Solanum lycopersicum: one gene and its partner. The protein of the gene in region 1 interacts with the protein of each later gene in a pairwise test. Links are inferred from orthologs where the notes say so. Each region holds a gene or a part of one and is shown on either strand. Other genes may lie near its edges.

Region 1 (4,425 bases):
ATAATTATTTTACCATACTATTCTTATTAATTAATGTTTAATAAAATTAAAAGATTATTTTTGCGATTGAATTATCGAACTTAGAGCCTGTTTGGCTCAGCTTAAAAGCTGGTTTTTGACTTATTTAGCTGTTTGACAATACTCAAAACAGCTTATTTTAAGTTAAAAAAAACTTATTTTAAGCCAAAAGTTAAAAGCTGGTGTTGGGGTGCTTTTTTTCCCAGCTTATAAGCTGTTTTAAGTTGACCACATTTTTACCTTTTTGCCCTTAATATTTTTATACAATCTCCAAATTATCCACGTAACCCTAACATCTCTTTCTTCTATTTTTCCCTTTTCACGTGTGGATAATAGACAATTACTATTACTAATGAATGAAAATAAAATAAACCTTAAATCTTTCAAGTGATCTATTCAAATTATATATTATTAAAATGTAAAATAAGTTGCACATATAACTTAAATAAAAATTTATATTCCTCTTATAAATAATTTGTGATAATAAAGAAATATGTGAATGATAGACAATTATTATTACCTATGGATGAAACTAAAATAAAATATTAAATCGTTCTTTAATCTATTCAAATTATACATCTTTAAAATCTATAATAAGTTTATATTCCTCTTATAAATAATTTGTGATAAGAAATAAATATGTGAATGATAGCAAAATATAATTATTTATGGCTATAAAATATAAATTAATTAACTTTTATTATGTTAACAACTTTTAAGGGTATTTAAGACATTTTGATTTAAAAAGCTGTTTATCAGCACTTATTTGCCAAACACATCAACAACTTTTTTTTTAACTTCAGCAATTTTATCCAAACGCACAACTGCTTATTTTAAAAATAAGTTTCAGCACTTTCAAAATTACTTTTTTAAAGCTACTTTTATTAAGCTCATTCAAACGGGCCCTTAATTTTGAATAAGTGACTGAGAAATCACTTCCAGTTCACTTTTACTTTTTCCTCTATTAAATAAATATGCTCAGAAAAGCAGTAAAATAAGTGGAATCAAGCATGTAATAAAAGTAATTCATTTTTAAAATTAACGTTTAAATTAAATCGGAATTAACAACACGAAAATAAATTACTTTTTTTTATGACAAAAATTAAAAGACAATGATTTGATTGTTCTTTGATCCAATAAAATTAATTTCCTAATTCCCCAAACCAAAATATTTATTAAAATTTTTTCGAGGTTGACCCACTCTTTAATAATACTTCTAATCAAATCAAACAACGCCACGTGTACAAACCTCGACATATGGGCCATCATGTCTTCCCCAATCAAGACCACATTTGATCCATTTGTCCAAATGACAAAACCCTTAATAAAGTCCAAACCCTTAAAGCACAATGTACAACCAAACAATGCATTGTACCCCCTTTATATCCATTATATAAATACACGGTTTCCGTTATATAATAACGACAGAATTTGACGGCGTCAGTTCCTCCTATAAATACCTCTGCAAATTTTCCAATGTTGTTTTCTCTTACTTTGTCTTCACTCTATTTTTGTGCTTTTTTCATTACATTTACATATATTCTCCATCTTCTTTGTTCTTTCTCCCTTCAATTTTTGTTTGTATTTGAAATTTTATCAAATTAAAAAATTGTCGCCGGAGACTCGCCGGCTCCGGTGAATATTTTTCTGGTGATTTGGTTATATATTTCTTCAAGATTTGCAAAAGGGTATCCAAAAATAGCAAAAAGGAAGAATTTTGTTGAAGACATTTTGAATATTTACTGAAGGATTTAAGCTCAGTTTCTGCAAATTTTGTTGTCCATTCCGAGGTATGAATACCCTTACAAAAAATTGCTTTTCGATTTGCTTATCTTACTTTTCATTTTAGTTTTTTTAAAAAAAATTCGACAACTCTTTATTTAATACGTACATCTTAACAGTGGCGTAGCCACATATAATGAAAAATGGTGAATTAAACACCCTACAACGGAGACTTATATTATATATATATATATATATATATATATATATATATATAAATTTATTTAAAAAATATATTAATTCTTGAATGCTTACCGTGAAACACATTTTACAAATCTTTAGAACTCGTTTGGAATGATTTTTCATTTTTAAGTTATAAGTAAAGAAAAAAGCTATAAGGTAAAATTATGATTTTGTCTGATTTTAGTTTAAAAACTAAATGTTTATAAGCATTTTTACTAACTTACACAGATGCTCTAACAATGTTTGAATCTATTACCTCGAAAACATATAAAATAAGTCAATACAAACAGGTTTTTAAGACTAAAACTATGAGATTTAAAAATATTTTTCAAATCTCATAAATATTATTTCGAGTCAAAATCAAATAAACAAATTAAAATCGACACATAAAACTAATTTTTTTTTTGTTTTGGAGGGTTGGGTCACTATCAAGAGTGTTTGTCTGTATGTAGAATCAGTGGCCGCTTTCAAAACTCGACAATGTCTATTAATTTATACAGCGATTTATCATTCATTCTATACTCTGCTCCTACTCCTATTTTTTTCCACTTTTTTTTTTTTACTTTTTTATTTTATTTTTAAAAAATATGTTATAATTCATTAATAATGATGAATTATCTGTCAGAAAATTCGGCTCTGGTCATTGATAATTTTTTTTAAAAAAATTAAGGTCTGTTTTTTCTTCTTCTTTCTTTTAATTATGAATTTTCTTTATTTATCTATACATTAAAGCAATGTTACAGAATGAGTTTTTTTTTTTCTCTCTTTAATATATTAACAAACACATACTCTTTTCCCTTTCTGTTTTAACTTCTTTTCTTTTTGTCTTTTGGTAGATAAATTACAACATTCATGTATTTATTTTTTCATTAACTTCATTTTTAAAAACAACTTCTTTTATCTATAAGATAAAGCTAAGATATACGTATATTTTATATCATACTTTGTAGGACTACATTCGGTATACGTTAGAGTTTTCTTCTAATATTTGAGTTATTTTTCATTTAGAGAATTCGATTAGGTCAAATGAACACTGTCCTCAAGTAACTGTTTGTGTGTGTATAAGTATATATATATATAGGTAACACAGATCCCGCTTTTTTTTTTTGTTTCAGTCAAAAATCTATTGAAAATAATCTTTTATGTATTTCCAAAGTGCGATGTATATTCAAATTTCTCTATTTTATGATATCATACTAAATTCGTTATTGTTGTCGTAGAATTAGTATTAAGATTGTCTGGTTTTTATGTGACTAAAAATTGTCAATGTTTTACATTATTTTCCAAGAAGAAAAACAAAAAAATGTATACTAAATTGTTTCTCTCACTTTTCATTTTAATTTTGTTTCAAACAAACTTTGCTTTTTATATTTAGTAAACTTTTTAAAATTCAACATCTCATCTAACATACATAAGTTAGATAATAAGATTCAAATTTGCAACTTCTGTTAAATTATGCTAAAATTATAATATTCAAAATTCTCTCTCACAAACGTAACGAAATATCCGTTTTTGTTATAAATATATGTTTAGTGAATTTTTTTTGGCATAATACATATATTGGATCCTAAATTTGGCTTCAAATTTTAACTTTGACATTCAACTTTCATAATGTACAAACAGACACTTTAACTATCCAACTTTTGAATAAATAAACTCATGAGTCCTACATGACACAATACATGTAGGACAAAAAATGACATGTGTGTATTTGTTCAACTTTATACATGTTTAAGTGTCTATTTGTGTACGCCCAAAGTTAAAAAAGACATAAATTTAAATGTATTATATCTTTTTTTTTTACTCTTAACTCATTTTAATTATTTTTTGTAGGAGAAAAGATATAGTAAGGGAGAGTGTAGGAGAAGGATGTTGACATGTATAACGTGTAAGCAAAAGATAGAAGATGATGGAGGTGAAGAAGGACCTCGTGGCCGTGCTCCTACTCCCCATACTAAAGATTCCATCAAAAGCCTCACAGCACAGGTACTATTTTTCTACTTTTGAAATTTCATTATAATAATCTATTTCGAATATCATATTTCATTATTATTATTAAGACGTTTGTAGTTTGAAGACGTGATTTCCAGCTCCGCGAGATAGTGATACAATTGGTATAAATTTTCCCTCTCTCAGATCCTACTTAGTGAGATTTTACTGAATATATTCCCGTTACTGATAGTAGTGAAGGCACGAGTGAGACTCTTCACTATTCAATCAAACCCTTCATTCGAGTTTTGACCCTCATTTGTATGGTTTAGAGAGGCTTATTTATCTTATAATTTCAGATGTTATTTCGATTTAATAATACCGTTTATTATATTGAATTTCATTGTAGTTAAATTTAAATATTTTTTTGTCAAAAATGTTTATAAACTTTTTTTTTTTCCTTCTTTGTTCAAAGCAAAGCTAACTCTTAGTACGAGACCTGTCGCTTTAGCC
Region 2 (4,295 bases), about 5.9 Mb from region 1:
AAAATATTCAGAATAAGGTGGGAATGGCCTCCGTGGTGGACAAAATGAGAGAGGCAAGATTGAGATGGTTAGATTATGTGAAGAGGAGATGAGGGGATGGGGTGCAAGAGGTTGGTTAGAGGGTACAAGGAGAGGCAGAGATAGACTGAAAAAGTATTAGAGAAAAGATGAATGACACGATATGACTCAGCCCAAGATTATTGAGGACATAACTTTAGATAAGAGGGTGTAACGGGCATGTATCAGAGTAGAAGGTTATAGTAGGTAGTGTAGTGTTGTCGTACGTAGAGTAGTCGGTGTTTGTCATCGTACTATTACTAGTACTCGTTTTTTTATAACCATCAGTATTTATTATTGTTTCCATTACTCTATTTTAATATGTTGTGTATGGTGCTTCAATTATTATGTTATTTTGCTTTTGCCACAGTAAAATTTGATTGTTTTTATTTTTTGTGACTTGATATGTTTATTTTTTGTTTTTGTTTTTGGAATTGCTTAAGCTAGGTTCTTTTGAAAACAGTTTATATATCACCATGACGTAGTGATAAAATCCGTGTACATTCTACTCTCTCCAACCCAACTAGTGAGATTCTATTGGGCATGTTATTGTTGTTGATATGTTAGCTCTTTTCTTCTTCTTTTTTTTTTTTAGAATAGAAAAGGCATACAGGAAAAAGTTACTAAGATTTTAAAAAAGAATAATATATATGAATGACGACTAGTGACTAGTGAATGAAGATATTAACTATACATAGATATTAGTAGAAGTAGCTGGTAGCTCGTATGATCAGTTGATGATAGATGGCCAAGTTAGTCAAGATGAAATGTTATGTACGTACCTTTTATAAAAGCTAGCTAGCTAGCTAGCTAGCTAGATCTGAAGCAACCGCAGTACCTGGGGGGCGTGCCCAGTGAAGCAGCGACAAGAACAAGAACCTACCAAAGGTAATAAAAACAAAAATTCATGAATGAATGATGAAAAAGAAAGCACGACTTTTGATAATTCCCTTCGGATCCCATCATTCATTAGCCTGAGTGAGGAGCTAGCTATGCATTCCCACTGCTAGGAAATCAATACAGCAAAGTTTGTTAGATCGAGAGAGATAAGGAAATATATTTTTTTTTTTATGAATATAAGTATATAGAAAATATATGTAGTATTCTTCCTCTTGTTGAAAAATCAAACATAAAATAACCTGATATTTTACTAGTATTTGCAAAATATTTCAAAATCGTATTATTACACAAATTTAACTTGGACACTCAAGGACGGGATTTCTTTGTGCGGGATGGCCCGTACCAGTCCACCACTTAGGTTAATTCTCTTCAATTTACACATCAAATGTCCAAATCCAAATTCAAGGACATGGATGCCTTGCCTTTGTCAAATGATTCTTCTTCGGTGGCTGCCGGCCGGTTGGTATCATAGTCGTTAAAAGTCCTGAATGATAATGATGAAAATTGGGGGACATGAGAATAAGTTGTTGTAGCTGCGGGATTAGGCAAGGAAGAAGATGAGGACGTGATTTCACATGAGTCTGAGATGGGACAGTCCATATTCACACCGAACAACCTGAATCGCTTTGCTGCTGCCTTGCCTTGAACAACTGGTACGGAGTCGAACACCACTGGCTCCACAACCCTGCCACTAGTACTACTATTACTGTGACCTCTTAATTGCATTAACCCAGCCTGCTGTGGAACTTGGGCTGACCCCGATCTGAGATAAACTACTGATCCGCTCGGACAAGGGTTTCCATTTACCACGGTTGTACGGCTGTTGATGAAATTACAAGTGTCATAGTAATAATTAGGACTGGATCCGTGAGATTGTTGTTGCTGAGACATGCTGCCAGGTGCAGGTTCCAGGGAATATTGTAAATGTGATTGGTCAGGAGGCTGCAAAAAGAGAGGACGATCCCAAGCAGCAGCTGGGTACTGAATATTAGAGCGGTACAAGTTATTATGGAGATGATGATTAGTCATGAAGTGGAGATGATCGGGGGCGTTTGGACGGCGCTTCCAGTCGATGAAGAGACGATCCTTGCCCAATTCACCGACTCCACGCTGAAATGAGACAATATCCCCAGCATCGAGCTTCTTCTCCTTGACGAAGCGGCTCCAACCTTTGGTCATTACATAGCTTTGACTGCTATTCCAATAGGAATACCTGAAGCGCCAAGGCTTTCCGTTCGTGTCTTCGAAATTGAGAAGGAGGCCTTTCTCGTTGGTAGAGGAATCCAGAGGAAAATACTTTTCTGCGTGCTGTTTGGGGATGACTAACCGATTGAGCTTGCCGACGTCACTGGGAGTGACTACCTTGTCGAACATGTGTTCTCGTTCAATCGTGTTACTTTCACCCACTTCATCTGCCATATCACTACTATTAGTGGTGCTTCTTTGCTGATGGGAGAAATCAGGATGAGAAAATGGGCCTTGATCGTTGAAGCCACGTCCATCTGAGAAGAAATTCATGATTTAGGACCCAGCATAGATCTAATCAGATAGGACCCAAAAAGCGTAGTTATTAGTGTGACTGGCTAGGGTTGAAAGAAAAAAAATATATAATTATTTTTTTTGTTTTTGTCGTCGTTCCGTGATGACTCTCATTAATTATCACCCATTCCGGAGTAGTCAGATTCAAAAGCCGCCTCTTTCTTCTCTCTTCTTTGTGTCTGTGTGTGAGAGGGAGAGGGAAAGAGACAAGGTACGTGGGTAATTTGTCTAAGTGGGTGGAATCTTCTTTTTTTTTTTTAAGTTAGGTAAATTTCATCCTAGTTATTCTCTTTTAGACTTTCTTCCGAGTTCATTCGCTCGTTGGGTCGGGGCCCACAAATTATCTGGTTGGGTTCATGTGAGCTCGTCCTTGTCATCGTCTCAATTAAAGTTTCTTTAACTCCTATTAAACAATATAACTGAACTCCTTCTCTCTAACTATCTTAACCTTACTTTTACTTCTTTTTTATTAATTTTAATTAATAATAAGGGATCAAGTAAACCTACAAAACTCACACATACCGTAGAGATTCACTGTGAGGGTAAAATTCGATCCAATAAACTAAATCGGAATGATTAAATAATTCACTTTATTTGGTTTTGATTCAAAAAATAATTCAATAATATCTTAATGAGTTAAACAAAACAAAAGAATATACATATCTTTATTAAATATACATAATATATTAAGTTTTATGAATAATTTGAATATCTTATAGATATTTATGAAAGTGAAAAAAATTAAAAGAAAAAAGTCCAACAAAAGGTCAATTAGAATCTAAGCCGAAAAACAAAAAAAATATATAACAAAAGCAATATTTTAATTTTAACTTTCCATGTAACATGTTTAAGATCACAAGATTAAAATAAAATTTTGATATATAACTTTAATTTAGAACCACAAAATTACAAATTTTGATTTCGTTTCTTAAACTCCATTTCAAGTCGAATTTGATCATCCTTTCATGAAAGGGATAAAAGTCTTCCGGGTTTTCAAGGTCATAACTGGTGGTTGATGGGTTGCTTTGTTATCCTATATTTGCAAAATAATTTGTTTTTTTCTATTATTCCACTTTGTATTTTATTTTCGTGTAACATTAGTAATTGATAAATAATATATATAATTAAATTAATTTTATTTAAAATTTTGATCAACGACAAAAACTCAAATCGGCCCATAAATACCTTGTCTAAGGTTAAAACGTTGATGAAAGTGCCACTTAAGTACTAGGGATGGCAATGCGGTGAGACAGGAGTGGAGTGGGGCAGGTCAAAGCTTTTGTGGGTGTGGAGCGGACGGGGCAAGGCGAGATTGGTTTAGATAGATTTTTTTAAAATTCAAGTGGGGCGGGGCGGGTTTGGGGTTTGAAAATGAATATTTTAAATTCATAAATTCACACATTTCATACCAGTTTTGCACCTTTTGGGCACTGCATATGATGAACAAAAGAGTTTATGAAAAAACCGTTTTGAATGGCCAAAAACTAGAAAGAAAAATAAAGTTACTAGCATTCAGTATTTTATGTAATCAATTCAAAATTATCAAAAAAAAAAAAGTTACTGACATATTTAAAAGAGTATAATAAAATTGCATTATAGTTCTACACTAGCCTATTAATTTTAGCAGTTACATAAACATATGAAGCAATTGATAAAGTAGAATTATTAAGGTAAAAACAAACTGTATTCAGTATTTTAATATTTTTAGAAATTATGTAAGGCAGGTGGAGTGGGTTTATGCGAATCGGTGCGGGACATGATAAAAACAACAAATTATATTATGTGGGACAGAGTGGAGC

What was found. The genes of interacting proteins can lie anywhere in the genome.
Region 2: the proteins of protein BREVIS RADIX (region 1) and B3 domain-containing transcription factor NGA1-like interact in binary tests that used the Arabidopsis thaliana proteins (3 or more experiments, as listed by UniProt). The link is inferred for Solanum lycopersicum from reciprocal best matches to the Arabidopsis thaliana genes BRX and NGA1.

Annotation. Positions count from the first base shown.
Region 1 is NC_090807.1:62,148,253-62,152,677, reverse strand, and holds the start of protein BREVIS RADIX, read left to right. Parts: upstream 1-1,500; 5' UTR 1,501-1,808; intron 1,809-3,816; 5' UTR 3,817-3,852; coding exon 3,853-3,969; intron 3,970-4,425. UniProt on the Arabidopsis thaliana protein: Acts as a regulator of cell proliferation and elongation in the root and shoot. Regulates roots architecture and primary root protophloem differentiation.
Region 2 is NC_090807.1:68,078,330-68,082,624, reverse strand, and holds the start of B3 domain-containing transcription factor NGA1-like, read right to left. Parts: upstream 2,809-4,295; 5' UTR 2,476-2,808; coding exon 1,380-2,475; coding exon of another isoform or gene 1,339-1,379; exon of another isoform or gene 1,188-1,338; intron 937-1,187; coding exon 872-936; 3' UTR 840-871; intron 1-839. UniProt on the Arabidopsis thaliana protein: Regulates lateral organ growth. Functionally redundant with NGA2, NGA3 and NGA4.